2 linked regions of the Rhinolophus ferrumequinum genome follow. The protein of the gene in region 2 interacts with the protein of the main gene of each other region in a pairwise test. Links are inferred from orthologs where the notes say so. Each region holds a gene or a part of one and is shown on either strand. Other genes may lie near its edges. The genes, in order: BTBD2 and TOP1.

What was found.
Region 1: the proteins of TOP1 (region 2) and BTBD2 interact in a two-hybrid assay, tested with the Homo sapiens proteins (2 studies listed by BioGRID). The link is inferred for Rhinolophus ferrumequinum from reciprocal best matches to the Homo sapiens genes TOP1 and BTBD2.

Annotation. Positions count from the first base shown.
Region 1 is NC_046301.1:61,200,073-61,207,597, reverse strand, and holds the start of BTBD2 (BTB/POZ domain-containing protein 2), read right to left. Parts: upstream 3,095-7,525; 5' UTR 3,086-3,094; coding exon 2,712-3,085; intron 1-2,711.
Region 2 is NC_046306.1:15,753,841-15,762,043, forward strand, and holds the start of TOP1 (DNA topoisomerase 1), read right to left. Parts: upstream 3,205-8,203; 5' UTR 2,936-3,204; coding exon 2,903-2,935; intron 2,606-2,902; coding exon 2,581-2,605; intron 1-2,580. UniProt on the Homo sapiens protein: Releases the supercoiling and torsional tension of DNA introduced during the DNA replication and transcription by transiently cleaving and rejoining one strand of the DNA duplex.

The sequences.
Region 1 (7,525 bases), on a different chromosome or scaffold from region 2:
CCACCACTCGCACATGTTCAATCATTACTCTCCATCGCGCGTGGCCTCTGGGACATTAACTCTGCATTGGCTTATGTCCCCATCTTTATCTAAGCTCCTGGTCCTCTGGAGGAGCCCTGAGTCATGGAGTCGATCTTCCCAGCAGCCCCAGGACTGAGGCGTCTGAGTGGTATGTCCCAGTCCACAGGCAGGGAAACTGAGACACAGCAAACCCAGGGTCACTCACTGGACAGTCATCCACCTGACCATTACAGGTAAATTTTTCACAATTCATATGAAATTATAACCCAAAGGCTAAAAATAAAAAGAATTTGAACCTTCTATTGGGGGATCCAGAGTAGGGCATCAACACCAGGGAAATGGGACAAGAAAAGTGCCATCAGCCTGGCCCCAGACACTCTCTGGACATTAAGCACACAGGGAGACAACTGATGGGTGCAGGGACCTGCGAGGTGTGCTAAGGGAACCAGGCAGAGCGCCATCAGGGGACATGGGACTCATGAAGCTACAAGCACAAGAAAGTGACAGGTCCAGAGGTGGGCCAGTCTGATGGTGAACGTTGGGGTGCAGGCACGCACCCCCACACCCAGAAGAGCCTGCACCCCATACCCCATTTCGGGGTGGCTCCTTGCTGCCATTCCTAAGCGCCCTTTTGTCCACACGCTGCCCCCAGGCTACCCCACACACTCCCACCAGTACGGACCCCTGCATGCTGCCGACCCGTCACACGTCCCTCTGGTCATACTGTTTCCAGCCATCTCTCTGGGGTGTCTCAGCCCCCCCCACACAACATGTACTTCCATGCCTGTCCTCCCCTGGGATGCTCAAGCCAGGAGTCCAGGAACTTCCGCCTGGTCCCATTTTCCCTCACCTGCCAAGCTACCTCCTCACATCACAGAGAAGTACCATCCCCAGAGAAGCTGAACCCTCTGCTTCCCAATTCTGCTGCCCCCACTAAGCCCATCATCTCCCGTAATGTCTGTGGCCCATTCCAGCCTTCAAAGCACAAGAGGTCACTGTGGCCCACAGGGCCCTTTGCTCCCTCTGCTCTGGCCTTGCTGTGGCTCCCACTTGCCCACCCCTCTGCTCTCCAGGCCTCACATCCCTGCACTCCCCTCCCCTTCCCCTGCTCTGCTCAGCGCCACTTGCTCAGAGGTGCCACTTGCTCAGAGGTGTCCGTCTGGAGCAGGTCAGCCCTGTCATTACCCGGGGCCCTGTCTCCCTCCTGCACTCAGAAATTCTCACTAAATGTCACACGCATCCTTCCTCACTTAACCTCCACCTCTCACCAGAGCCAGGCCCCTCTTCTGCTTCTTTCCGGGGGTGCTCTCATCCACCTTTCTTATCCCCACTTTGCCACCAGCCAATGGACCTTGAAGCATGATGGAGTATGTATCTCAAGGTCAGCCGGCATCCAGGGAGGCCCCCACCAACTCCCTTGCTCCCCTCAAGTAGAAACCCTGACGTTCCCTCACTGGGTGGGGTTTCCAGTCGTATCCACCTGCCCGGTGAGGGCTCCAGTCAGGGGTCGGGTGGGCAGGAGAGCCCACACTGGACTGAGCAGCGTTTGAGAACGGGAGGGGTGAGGGAGGCCGATGGTTCAGGAGGGACTGGTAGGTGGCAAACGGACCAGCCCCCTACTCCAAGCTTAGGAAGGTGGCCCCCATGGGTGACAGGGGACAGGGCTGCACACACACCGGGGAAGGAGGAGTCAGGGGAGGTCCTGGGGACCCAACCACAGGCCTGGAACCTTCTGCGGAAAGGAAGCCAGACGCAATTGTACATAAATAACCAAGAAAAAGCCACAAAGACTGTCAAAAGACACAGGTTAAAGGCCACAGGCCAGAGAGGCGGGAGGACCCTCACAGCAGGTTGGGGGACACTCCAAGCAGAGCCAAGAACCCCCCCCTCCCCTTCCAGGGTGGAGCCCTCAGCGAGCCTTCCCCACCAAGGTCCCTGGGGTGCAACGGGGAGCAGGGTCACGGAGTGGGCAGGCCAGTGTCTGACAACAGCTCACCCAGCCCAGGAGTCTGGGGCTGCACCCTAGAAACTGGCAGAGGGATGGGGCCTGGAGCAACAGTGCCCGAAGAGGAAGCCTGGGGGTTAGGGGGTGAAGGGACTGGGGAGTGTCAAGGACTGGGGGAGGGGCAGGAGGGTGAGAAGGTTGGAGGAGGGTCAGTGGGCTGCGGGTTCAGGGGGCTGGGGAGTCAGGGGGCTGGGGAGTCAGGGGGCTGGGGGCTATGTGGTTCGGGAGTCTGGGGAGTCCTGGGTTTGCGAGGCAGGAGTCTGGTGGGGATGTAGGGGTCATGCAGGCCTGGAGAGCACGGGTTACTTAGTGGAGGGGGTCAATGGGGCAGGATGGCAGGGCCCAGGGTGGAGAAAACTGGTGGGGTTCGCAGGGCCTGGAGATTCTGGCAAGAGTGGCAGGGTGGAGGGTGTCCGATGGCGGTGGACGGGCGGGGGTCCAGGGGCCAGGGAATGGCTAGTATCTGGGGGCTGCGGGATGGATGGGGCTCCAGCAGGACCACAGGGCCCGGAGATAATGGGGCCTGGGGAAGGGGGTGCCCTGGGATACTGGAGGGTCCGAGGGCTGCGGATAACGGGGATGGCGGGTACCAGGATGGCGGGGTCCCAGGGAAGGGGGTCCAGGGATGGCGGGCCCGGGGGATGGGGTCCCGGAGCCCGGGGGCCCGGGAGCGGGCGCGGCCCACCTGTGCGCCGGGATGCGCTGCGCGCCGAGCCCCTTGCCCACCAGGAAGTGCACGTCGCACAGCACCTCGTTGTTGAAGAGGAAGGCGAAGCGCTCCTGCACCGTGGGCTTGGTGGCCTGCCAGTTGTACACGGGCTCGCGCAGCAGCGCCGCCGCCCCCGGCTCCTCGGCCGCCCGCTCCCCTCCCGGTGCGGCCTGTGCGCCCGGCCCTGAGCCCGGAGAGGACGTCCCGGGGGCGGCGGGGACCGGGCCGGCGGCCGCAGCCGCGTTGCCGGGGGCGGGGGCGGCGTTGGCACTGGGACCCGGGCCGCCCCCCGCGCCCGCACCGACCGCCGGCGGGCACGATGCGCGGCCGCCGCTCCCACCCGCCGCCATCTTGTCGGTGCGGCGCCGCGGGGCGGGCGGGGCTGGCGGAGCGGGCGGGGCTGACAGGGAGGGAAGGGGAGGGGCGAGGGAGGAGGGAGGGGCGAGAGGAAGGGCATGGGGAGAAAAGGGAGGGGGTCACGGAGGACGAGGAGCGGGGACAGGGGAGGGGAACGGGGAGGACGGAAGTAGGGGCTGCGGGGCAGGAGAGGAGAGAGGGAGGGAGGATGGAAGAAGGGACGAGGGAAAGGGCGCGGCGCAGACCATAGACCGCGGGCCCCAGATCACAGACCTCAGACGTCAGACCTAGGACCCAACATGCTAGATCTCCTACTTCAGACCGCGGACTTTAGAGACTCCAAACCTCGGATCCCGAATCCTGGACCCCAGGTCCGGGACCTCAGACCTTGGACCCCAGATCCTAAATCCTCAGACGCAGGCCCCAGACATCAGATCCCAGATCCCAGACCCGGTACTTCAGACCTAGGCTCCAGACACTGGACCTTAGATCCCGGATCACCAGACCCAGATCCTAGATCCTCAGACCCAGGGGCCCCAAACCTCAGATCCCAGTCTTCACCCCAGCCTCCATAACCCAGACATCAGATCCTACATTCCAGACCTCAGGCCTCAGAGCCCAGGCTCCAGATTCCAAACTCCAGACACCAGATTCCGGACTTCACACATTAGACCCCAACCCCAAACACTGAACCCAGTTCCCTGGACCCCACAGCCCAATCTCTGACCCAGATCCCCAAATCCCAAATCCAGACCCTACCCCAGACCTTGAGTCCTGGGCCTTGGACCCCAGAGTCCAAACCCCACACCTGGGATCCTGGACCCCAGCCCTTAGCCTCCAGCCCTGATGGTCTCCATGCCCAGTGGAGGAGACCCCACTGTACAGAGGGGTCAAACTGAGGCCCCGGGAAGTTGTGGCTGAATGCGTCGGGATGCTCTTTTCATCCAAGACTCAACAGGTATACAGGGCAGAGCTTGGGGCCACGTCCAGGACACAGCCCTGCGGATCCTGGTTCAACTCTTTCCAGCCGGTCACACAATAGGTGCATGAAAAATAAAGGCAGGAACTTGGAAATGCCAGAGAAACACAGGAAAGCAAATTAATATCGTATGTCATCCTGCTATCCATAAACAGCTAGTGTTAACACTTCAGTGTATTCTTTGTCTCTTTTGTGTGTGTGTGTGTGTGTGTGTGTGTTTTGTTTTGTTTTGCTTCATGTTTTACAGAGTAGAGTCTTTTCATATAGTTGGGATCACTTGAATATGTATCATTTGGTAAAAGGATATCAGCCTTTTTATGTGGCTAATGCTGAAAAATGGTTCATCCGAATAAAATCATGGGTGGATATAATACTAGTGACTCGATAAAGAATGAACATCCTGGGGTGGCTGGCTGGCTCAGTTGGTTAGAGCACAGTGCTCATAACACCCAGTTCGCCGGTTCGATTCCCACATGGGCCAATGAGCTGCACCCTCCACAACTAGATTGAAAAAAGAAAAAAAAACTTGACTTGGAGCTGATGGGTCCTGGAAAAACACACTGTTCCCCCAATATTCCCCAATTAAAAAAAAAGAGAGAGAAAATGAACATCCCGATTCTTGCCTTTTGAGGATAATGGATTCACGGCCTTCAGACTCTGGTCGTTTTAATTCCCTGTAATCATTATCGCTGAAGGATACCTTTAGCTGGGCTTCTGCTTATTTCCACAACCCCTGGGACTTGGAGAAGCATCCTTGCCTGCTGATGAGAGATTCTATCCCATGTTGTACCTTCTTTGCCCTGAAACATAAAACCACCTATTCTCCAAAGAGCCCTCATTCCTTGGGGTGGGGGAAAGTACTGATGACCACGTTTTGGATATTGGACATAATATTGCACATAAATTTTTGGTGGAAAACTGATTAAAGTCTACTTCAGTGGTCTGATAGAAATGGGAAGTTTTAGAGATTGCGAGTTCATAGTGTTGTTTCCAGTTCATCTCTAACACTACTCCTTAACAGGTGTCCTCAGTAACTATGCCTGACCCGGCCCACCACCTGTTGATTTAAAGAAAGTTTTATTGACATGCAGCTATGCCCATTTATTTGCATGTTGTCTACGCTGCTTTCCAGCTTCTGAGGCAAATCTGAGTAGTTGCTTCAGAGATGATATGGCGGTCAAAACCAAAAAATTTACTCTGTGGCCCTATACAGAAAAGGTTTGCAGGGTAAGTTATTTTACCATTTTCTTTCATCATCTGGTGAACCACATTAAGTTTCTGAAGATCCTGGCTATAACTTGTGTAATTTCTCATTCGTTTTATCTGTCAACATAAAATTTAAGTCCAGACCATAATAGTCATATAAACAGTATCTAAAATAACTACTAGTTGGAAAATAAGATCTAAGATGCAGCTCTCGCGGCATCAATGATGGCCCAGCTGCTGGGTTCAGACCAGGCATGTGACCAATCCTGGCCAATGAGGTGAGAGGACAAGTCTGCAGGATGGGGGATTCCAGGACAGGTTTCTGCAGAACGATCCCCTGAATGGCAGAGTAGGGAAAGGGAAGGGATCTGGGTCTGGAATGACATTGATTGTCTTGATCATCCTGAGCCTAGAGGCTGCCATGGCTTGGGGCTGTTTGGTCTCTGAGCTAATAAACATCTTTATGGAGTTAAGCAAGTAGAGTCAGGTTTTCTTTTACTCATGGCTAAAGGCATGTAATTGATGCAATTGGCCCTGGTGGCCACCTTTGAACACCTCTTGCTAACAACAGACACGGAAGTGACTGAGTGCTCACCTCCCTTATAATAAGCTCTGAGGTTGTATGATTATGTATATAAACAGTTGCCTGGTGAGTAGTTTCAGTTATCTATGAGCACAGAGCAAAACCACCTACAGATTTAGACGCTTCACTCTAAGAGCAGGCAGGGAGGGTCTGACTGGGAAGGGACAGGAGAGAACTTTCTGGAGGTGTGTATTAGTTTCCTACAGCTGTTGTAACAAATTTTCACAAATGTAGAGGCTTAAAACAGCATAGATGTATTATTGCACTGTTTTGGATGTCAGGAGTCTGAAATGGGTCTCATTGGGCTAAAACCCAGGTGTGGGCAGGGCTGGTGCCTTCTGGAGGCTCCAGCAAGAACCATTTCCTGCCTTTTCCACCTTCTAGAGGTGGCTGCTTTCCTTGGTTTGATTTCTGCTTCCATGGTCACATCTTTTTCTCTGACTGACCCTCCTGCCTCCCTCTTACAAGGACCCTTGTGATGACACTGGGCCCCCTGGGGAATCCAGGATAATTCCCCCATCTCAGTATGCTTAACTTCATCCCATATGCAAAGCCCCTTTGCCATATAATGTAACATATTCACAGCTTCTGGGGACTAGGGCGTGGACATCTTTGGGGGCCATTATCCTGCCCACCACAGTGTATGGACAATCATCTTTATGATTCTATGCGTAGGTTGGCTGGGCATTTCCTCTGTTGCTCTTACCTAGAGTAACCTATGAGACCACAGACACCTGGAGGGTTAAGTGGGCTGGGCTGAAAGGTCCAAGGTGGCCTCACTGGCATATTGGGCAATGGATGCTGGCTGTGGGCTGGGAGATCTCAGTTCTCCATGGAGCCTCCCAGCCTCCAAGAACCTACACTGGCTTCCTTACATCATGGCAGGAGAACTCCCACATCTCACTTCTGCTACATTCTATAAGTCAAAGCAAGTCACATGGCCATGCCTAGATTCACAGTGGTGGAGAGACAGACTCCCCCTCTGGATGGGAGGAGCCTCAAAGTCCTATTGCAAAGAGGCACAATATTAGAATGGGAGAAATTTGTGGTCTCTGCACAACCCACCCTACTCCTTTGATTCCGTTGTTTAAGTTTACGGTCACTGTTGGTGTGCTTTCTCCTGACACATCTCACTGGGTAGCTTTCAACTATCAGTTCTTACTTGGTAATGGAGGATCGGGGAAGTCAGCTCTAAGCAGTTCACTGTATGAGACCAGGGAAAACAATGGAAGCCATTCAATGTCTGGAGATTTTATGAACAGACCCAGCAGTCCCAGAAGCCACCCACCCACAGTGGAATTTGTACATGGTGGCAAGTTGAGATCAAAATGCACACAGCCTGCTTGGGCCCCACCGGGTTGCATCACAACTCATTCTGAAGTTGGAGGGCTTCCAGGCTCGAAGGCTGGTGAAGCAGGTGATATGCCCAAGAGTTTGGAACTCTTCATGAAATTATTGATTCAGGCAAAGTTACTGATGGTGTTGAGACCCTGAGATGTACCACTGATGGGGAACAGAACCATCACACGTGCTGGATTCTCTTCACACACAATACTGCTATCAGGACTTCTCAAACAGCTACAGTCATTTAGAAAGGGGCTAAAGTACAGACGAATAGATAGATCAGGAGCCCAAGACAGACCATATTCACATCTAGAGGGTTGA
Region 2 (8,203 bases):
CCCGGAAGATAAGACCTAGCCAGACCATCAGGTCTAATGCGTCTTTTGGAGCAAAAATTAATACAATACTTGGTCTTATATTACATAAGACCCAGTCTTATATTATAGTAAAACAATACAGTAAAAAAAACTGGGTCTTATATTAATTTTTGCTCCAAAAGATGCATTAGAGCTGATGGTCTGGCTAAGTCTTATTTTCGGGGAAACACGGTAGCACAGTAGCTAAGCTTGTGAGCTTTGGAGTGCCCCACTCACTGCCTTTGGGCAAGCTAGTAAATACGCCTAAGCCTCAGTTTCCTCATCTATAAAATAGAGATAATAGTACCTAAAACTCAGAAGAATCCTTCTGAGGGTTAAATTAAATTAGATGGTCCATGGAAAGAGCTAGGATTTGTGCCTGGCAGACAGGATTCAATAAATATTAGCAATTATTGCTATTCCACGTGAACAAACACATTCTAAAAGTCAATATAGCCAGTTTACTTCAGTCTATTAAAAACAGCACTAAAGAGCAATAACCTATCCAGCCCACAACCATTCAAATATTCAATAGTTTCTTTGTGTAATTGAGATGAAAACCATGAATGGAGGTTAACTTGCTGAGAATGGCCTAAACTTTGTTTCATTACTAAATACATTGCCTACTCAGCCCAGTCTTCAAGTCAAAAGAACACTTCTTTTCTGTATTAAGATCCTACCTTCCTTCAAGAGAGATCAAAAGGACTTCTTACATCCTCACCTGCCACATCCTCTCTTTGCTTCCACATCCCAGGCAAACATATTTATACTCTTCGCAGTTTTCTTACTGCAGGAGCCTCATCTCCCTCTCTTAAAATCCTGACAGGTTGGCTAAACATAGTTAAGAAATACTCCAATCCCTGACACTTAGCACCTATTCTTGCATAACACCCAGCTCAGAAGTCACCTCCTGAGAAATTTCCCCACCCCCCAGACAAAATTAAAGTCCCCTAGTCTCCCAAAGCATTTTGGGTATACATATGCCCCGGCACCTACCTTATAATTAACTAATTATATCTCCCCCAGTAGACTGGATTGAAGGCAAGAGCAGCACTGTGGCCGAAGGTTTGCTCTAGCACTAAACATGTGTTTGGCACATATTAGGTGCTCAAGAAATGCTACACTTTTCTTTAACCAGATTCCCTCCTCACAGAGTACCATCTCATGCTGGATGCCCCACTTCAAAATCTGAACATCAGGCTGCTCCTTCAGTAGAGCAGGCTAACATGATATACTGCTGATTACAACATGAAAACCTACTCATCAGCTTCTCCCACTGGAGAGGTTCCCAGAACCCAAACTCAACTGAGTAGGATTATGTACCATCAGAATCAGTGGGAATTCCCAGCACACTACAGAGGGTACCTTCTCCTTCACCCAGGTTACTGAAAAGCCTGCAGAGTGAGCTTTTTATTGGAGGAATTTTTGCTGGGTAACTGAAGTGGAAACATTCAGAGAATAAACGCCTTGATTTGGCTGAAACGGGTTCAAAAGCATAAAGATCTGGGAAAAGCTAGCTCTTGATTCCTGAAAAACAGCGGCTTCTGAAAAAGAATGAACAGGAAGTAGGGGAGGGTGCCGGCCACTCTTTGTTTTAATAAATAAAATCCTTTTTTCCTTCCCCACAGCCCAAAAGAAAGGGCCAATGCACCAGGTCCAGATGAGATGCTCAGCAACCTTTCCTCCTGACAAGTACACTACACGGGGTTCTAATAAAACATTGTCTTAGGAACCTCAGCCACATTGAAAAGTTCTAGTCAGTAACACTATAATTTTTTTTTTGTAATTAATATGCCCGAGTCCAAGATTTACATTGGATGGCCCACAGAGAACTTGCAAACTTTTTGAAGGGAGGTACTACTACCTATGCAAAGAACACAACTTAGGAAAAACAATCTCAAAATATGAAGAGCTCAACAAAGGGTGGCTTTAGTTTTAGAGCTATAATTCCTATCACCCACATCTTACTTTAAAAAAAAAAAATCAACAGCTGCCAAAGGGTAGCTTTCATTCTGGAAGCAGAAAAGGAAACAAGAAGCAGAAAGGGAATAACCCCCAAAATAAAGTTCTCTTTGGAAAAAAATAGTAACAATTCAGTCTCCCACCCTTGCCTCTCTGGTGAGGTCTGTGATTTACATGGCTTTGCTCTGCAGAAAGCTCTTTCTGGGCAGCTCAAGGAAGGAGCCGAGGGAGGGAGAGAAAGAGACACAGGCACAGAAAGGAGAGGAGAGAGAAAAAGAAAATGGCGCAGAGACTAAGTCCCGACTGTCGACAAGGCGACTTTCCCGGGAGAAATCCGGGCCGGGAAAGGCTGCCCGAGGCCCGGTGGCAAGCGACATAGGGTCTCCGTTGCCCCCTCTCGGGAGAGCCGCGATCTGGGGGGGCTGGGATCCCCGGAAAGGGGGTCCAGAGGCCGCCCGATGGGAACAATGGGGCCGGTGAGCGAGGAGCCGGGACTTAGTCTCTGGGACGCCATGTCTGTCCTCTGCCCGGCTCCGGCCGGGCGCGGGGTAGGCGGCCGGCAGCTGGGGGACCCGGGGTCAGAGCGGAGGGCACACTCACCATTCAATCGGAAATCCGCTTCGATCTGGAGAGAGAAAAAGAAGGAATATGAAACAACAGGCATATTAACCCCGCCGGCGGCGAGCGCGCGCGGCCGGCGGCCTAGCCCACGGTGCGCCCCCAGGGATGAAGGGGGCCCCGGGAACGGCCCGAAGAGGCAGCCATCCCCCCCAAACTGTAACTTCGGGGCTTTCGCCCGGGGCCTAGCAAGCTGATCTCCTCTGGCCGGCCGCCCCTGGCCGGGGGCTCCGGCCTGTCAAGGCGGCAGGGCCGTGGCCGGGGTCGCGGAGGGCCAAGGCGGGGCCAGGAGGTCGGGTTGTACCTGGGAATCGTTGTGGAGATGGTCCCCACTCATGTCTGCCGGAGCGCCGAGCGAGGCGGGCGGCAAGGGGCGCCGAGGAGACGCAGACCGTCGGGACCGGCCTGTGCGGGGGGACGGGAGCTCTCGGGGGCTCCCGGGAACGCGGGTGAGCGGCGGCGGCGGCGGCGAGTCTGACACTCCCGGAACCGCAGAGGCAGCGACAGCGGCGGCGACGCTTACTGACTGCCAGGCGGGCGGCGAGAGCAGACCCCAGCAGTTGTGTAACAGCCTAAGTTCGCATTTCGGCTCACTGCGCCTGCGCCGCCGGTTTTAAACGGGACGTCGGCGACGTCAGAGCCTCCCAGAAAGAAGCCGAGGGTTGCGGGGCCCGCCCCCTCGCGTTTCCAAAGGCGGACCTGGCTTTGCATCGAAAGCCCCGCCCCCAGCCCACGCGCGACGCTAGGATTTGCATAGGGAGCTGACTCCTCCCAAGGCCGCCTACCCCGAGCATCCTCCCCTTCCTCTCCCCGCTCCTTTTCTCGGAACCCAGGTCGCCTCTGCTACGCAGAACGCAGGCGCAGTCTGGACACCGCCTCCGAACCCGGGCTGGTAGCGCGGCCACGTGGTGGGCCTTTAAAGGCGGCGGCGGGACCAGGCCCAGGCGGAGCTGGTGTTCTGCTCCTGCGTCTCCCGGGATCTGCCGCTACCTTGGCGGCCGAGGCCCCAGAGCTCTCACCAGCGATTCCTCGCTCGCCAACCAAACCCCGAAACCGCTTTGCCGGAGGGGAGCCTCCGCCCCAGCCTTTGTCCAGGCCTTCCAACTTCTGTCTTATTTCCTGCCCATTTCCTAAAATTTATTTGCATTTTACAACTAACCCAAGGTCTGGTTCAGCTCTAGTTTTCGGCTGGGTATATGTAACCCTGGGTCACCTCCAGAGGCCTAATTTCACTCGTTCCTTCTACATTGAGCATCTGATGTGAGCCAGGAACGGTGCTGAGAAAGGGGGAGGAGGCGCAAGGGGCCAAAGGGAACCAGACCTCGGGGTAAACACGACTTGGCTCTGTCTACCGCTGGATCACTAACATGCTGTGGGGCAAAGGGGAACAGAACTGCCGTGTATGGAACATCTGTGCTGAACATACTCCAGTCAGAATATTCACACTCGCTCTGTGAGGTCACCTATTTTACTAAAGATAAACTGTGTCAGAGATAAGTGACCTACAACCACCTACCTGACATCTACACTTGGATACCTCTCAAGCTTCTCCAGGGCTGAACTCACCATCTTCCTCCTCCTCCGCCCAGCTAGAAAAGCTCCACCCTGGACAGCTTCCGCTCCCTCATTTCTCATTAGTCCAGCTGATTGCACCTTTTCAACCTGTCTACCTTTCTCCCCTGCCCACACACCTGTCCAAGTAGGCATTATTTCTTGCTTAGATTATTAAAATATACTCCTCACAGGGGTGCCTGCTTCTGTTCTGGCCCTCTCACAAACTGCTGGCCAACAGTACCCAAAGTGATCTTTTCAACACACAGATCTAACCATTATACCTTCCCACAATACTTCCCGTCACTTAGCATAAAGTTCAAAATTCTTACAGCGGCCACCAAGGCCCAGCATAACATGCTTAATTCAAGTGTGACTGTTGTGAATTTTGCCATATCTATTACCACTTCCACTGGTATTGTTACTTATTTGAATCACTCTCCTTCTTCATCCTAAATAATAATATCTATGAAAGAATGTCTATGAAATCATTTACAAATAAATACAGAAAGTGTTCATCCATGGACCATCGAAATCATTTCTATCACATCTAGTAGTAAACACTTTGGGGTTAATCTTTGTGAATACTTCAAAATTCAACCTTAATATCACTTTCTCAAAGGGACACCCCCCTACACCCAGCTAAAGTGCCCCTCATGGAGTGTCCTTTGCCTTTGTAACATTTATTACAATTTATTAATGGGGGTGATTAGTGATTTTTGTGTCTGCCTCCCTTACTGAAGGGTGGGGATCTTGCTTAGTTAGCACTTGATCCTCAGCACTCAGCAACAGAGCCTACAGAAGAGATGTGCGATCAGCAAGTGAAGGAAAAAAGAGAACAGAAGGCCCTGATGGAGTTCAGGGTCCTGGTGGCTAGGTAGTATCCCCTGAAGCCTTATTTCACTCCTGTTCCTGTGCCTTTAAATAAATCCCCCACTTTGCTTAATGGAGTTCTGATGTGTCGCTTAAGACCAAGAGCGCTAAATGACACTCAATTCTAAGTTACACTTGATTCCCGGGCAGTCTCAAGGCTTCTATTACTCCTGTGGCCCTGCCCCGTCTCTCATGTTATGACACCTGGACGCCCCTCCTGGCATTTAGACCCTGGATACTGGCACAGTCTCTGCTTTGCCAGTTTGGGGGCAGCAGTGTCTTCTGGTGGTTCTCCCTTCCTGTGGTACCTTGCCTAAGGACCTGCCGCTCTTTTGAGATTTGGACACCCTCAGAAAAGAACCTGTTTGACACCCCAGAAAGGGGAATCAGGCTGGCAACCCCAGTAACAACCAGAAACACCCTTTGCCTGCTGGTAATTAAACAGCTGAGCAAAGGTTGAGATCTGTAAAATGAAAAGAAGAGAACCAGCAGGAAAGCTGGCGACCCTTGAGTCATGGAATAAGAGCACAGGCAACAAGGATGTAGGAGCCTGGCCATGTGGCCTGGGGCAAGGAGGGGAGTCCACTTTCATGTACTTCTGTCTTCCTTTCAGAAGACATCCTTTCTGTGATGAGGACGTTTATTTATTCCACCCGTATCCCCTGAGGAATGAGGGAGTGGGAACTATTGTGGTTGATAGGTGCTATCTACCCTGTGGATACAGATTTTAATAAGACCTAATCATCATTTTAGAGGAGCTCCTAGTCTGATAACAACACAGACATTCCCCAACTGCTACCATAAGGTACAAGGAATAACAGGGAAGAGGTGGCCAGCTACCAGTTGCTATGGTAACACTGGGATGGAGGAGGCACATCCAACTCACCAGTGGTGGTGGCGGGGGCAATATTAGCAAAGGCTTCTAGTTCGATGCTATTCTGGAAAGAATGGCCTGTGGAAAGAAAAGCAAGACACTGCAAGAAGAAGAGTAACCGATGCAAAGGCCGAGTCACGGGCGTGAATAGCTTTGGTCAGGATAGAGCAGAGGGAACTGTGAGGATACACCAGAGAAGGAGAGCAGCTGCTGCAGGGTGAGCTCTGCCAGGGTTTCGAGCAGGTCTGAGGACAACCATGGGCAGCAGAGCTCACACTGGAGACGGGCAGATTCGTCAGGAAGCCCATGGAGACCATTACAGGTATTACAGAAGCATCACTAACCATGGAATTACTGTGCAGATGCAGACTGTCAAGGGGACAGAGGATATTGTCCGGTGTCCAGGGTACAGCCCAAGGACAAGTTATGACAGCAGCTCTCTCTGAATCTCCCTTTCACAGGGTATGCTGCTAGCATGTCCTGCTGCTACTCAGATCCAGCTGCCTTCACCTCGAGAACCAGTGGGCAGGGGAAGCAAAGAAGCAGGAATTGAGACTCCAAGAAATACTGGAAAATTCTGGGAGTGAGAGAAACCCCAAGCTGACTCAGCATGACTCCCTAAGAAAATGGAACAGAAGTCACAGACTCACTTAATAACCAGCAGGTGACAGATTAGCCAAGTTCAGGTTTTGAAAAGATCTACCTCCTTGTATCCCCAACAAGCCCTCTGAGGCCTTAATCCCGTCCTCTTCACCTCCCCGGAGCCAGGCTTACGCCAGCCTCTTCTCTTCCTCCTGCATAGCAACTTCAGCACTCGCTCCCTCTCCCAATGTCCCCCCTTGACCTTATTAAAAATAACACTTCACATTAATTGATTACCTACCACGAGCTCTGCCTTGTCCTAAGTGCTTCACCTACAGTATTTCACAATAACCATATGAAGCAGGTACTACTAGTTCCACCATTTTACAGACCAGAAAACTGAGATGTAAGAAGACTAAGTTAACTTGCCCAAAGTCACACAGCTATTGAGTGTTGGGGCTATGATTTGAACCCAAGCAGTTTGACTGTGGAGCCCGGTCTCTGAATGTCTGTGCTGCCTCCCAAATTGTCCTTCAGCCAGTTTCCCTCACCTTCTTTGAAATATTTGGAAAGGATAGTCACATGTGCTGCCTTTCCTGTCTAATGTGCTATCTTTTGATCACAGTTGATGTAGCTTCCATTCTTCTTCTTATTTTTTTATTGAGGAATATTGGGGAAGCGTGTTTTTCCAAGACCCATCAGCTCCATGTCAAGTCATTTATTTGTTGCTTTTTTCAATCTAGTTGTGGGGGCCGCAGCTCAGCTCCAAGTCAAGTTGTTGTTTTCAGTCTAATTGTGGAGGGCACAGCTCACTGGTCCATGTGGGAATCGAATCGGCAACCTTGGTGTTATGAGCACCGCGCTCCAACCGTTGAGCCAACTGGCCACCTGTGACTTCCAGGCTAATCAGAGACTGCCCAGTTTCCAAATAGAGTAGCCTTATTCTCCTCCACCTTTCTGCAGCACTTAGTGATGTGGATAGGGGCATTCCTTGGGTCCTTTTCATTTGACTCCAATGACCACGAATTCTCTTGGTTTTCCTCCTACCTCTGCAAAAGCCATTTTTTCTGCCTCCTCCTCTTCTTCCGGCACAATGTAAGCATTCCCAAAGCTTATCTCATCCACCTTCTCTCTCTACACCCTCCTCTTGGAAGCTTTATGGATTCTCTATTGACTTCTGTAGATACAGCCTCTCAAATGGATGTCTCTAGCCTTGACTTCTTTTTGGAGACACAGAAATATCTACCCCTCTGCCCAATGCGTAGGTCTACTTGATGGCCCTCACATTCCTCTGCTCCTGAGTTCAAGTTTGTCCTTGAACCTACCTTTCCCTTCTACCATCTTTGCTTGGTGAATAGATCTACCCGCTCCCAGTCACACTGGCTCAAAGCCTTGGAGCCTCTTGAGTTGCTCCTGTCCTCCGTATCCCTGTCATGGCTGCTACCTCTGAGAGTCTGTGTCCTTCCCCAAGGTTCTCATTGCATCTGCCCCTTCAATGGCTTCTCTACATCACACATACACACACACACACACCATGGGCCAAGTACTATGCCTTGTGCTAGGGATTCAACAGAGAATTAGACAAAGTCCCTGCCTTCAAGGGCCTGACAGGTGGGACAGACATGAGAACAAGGAATCGCCACTTACTATGACAAGTGCTTTGGGATAAAGGATAGCATGTTTGCTCTAGCATCCCTTCAGAGGAGCTGCCATCCCAGAATTGAG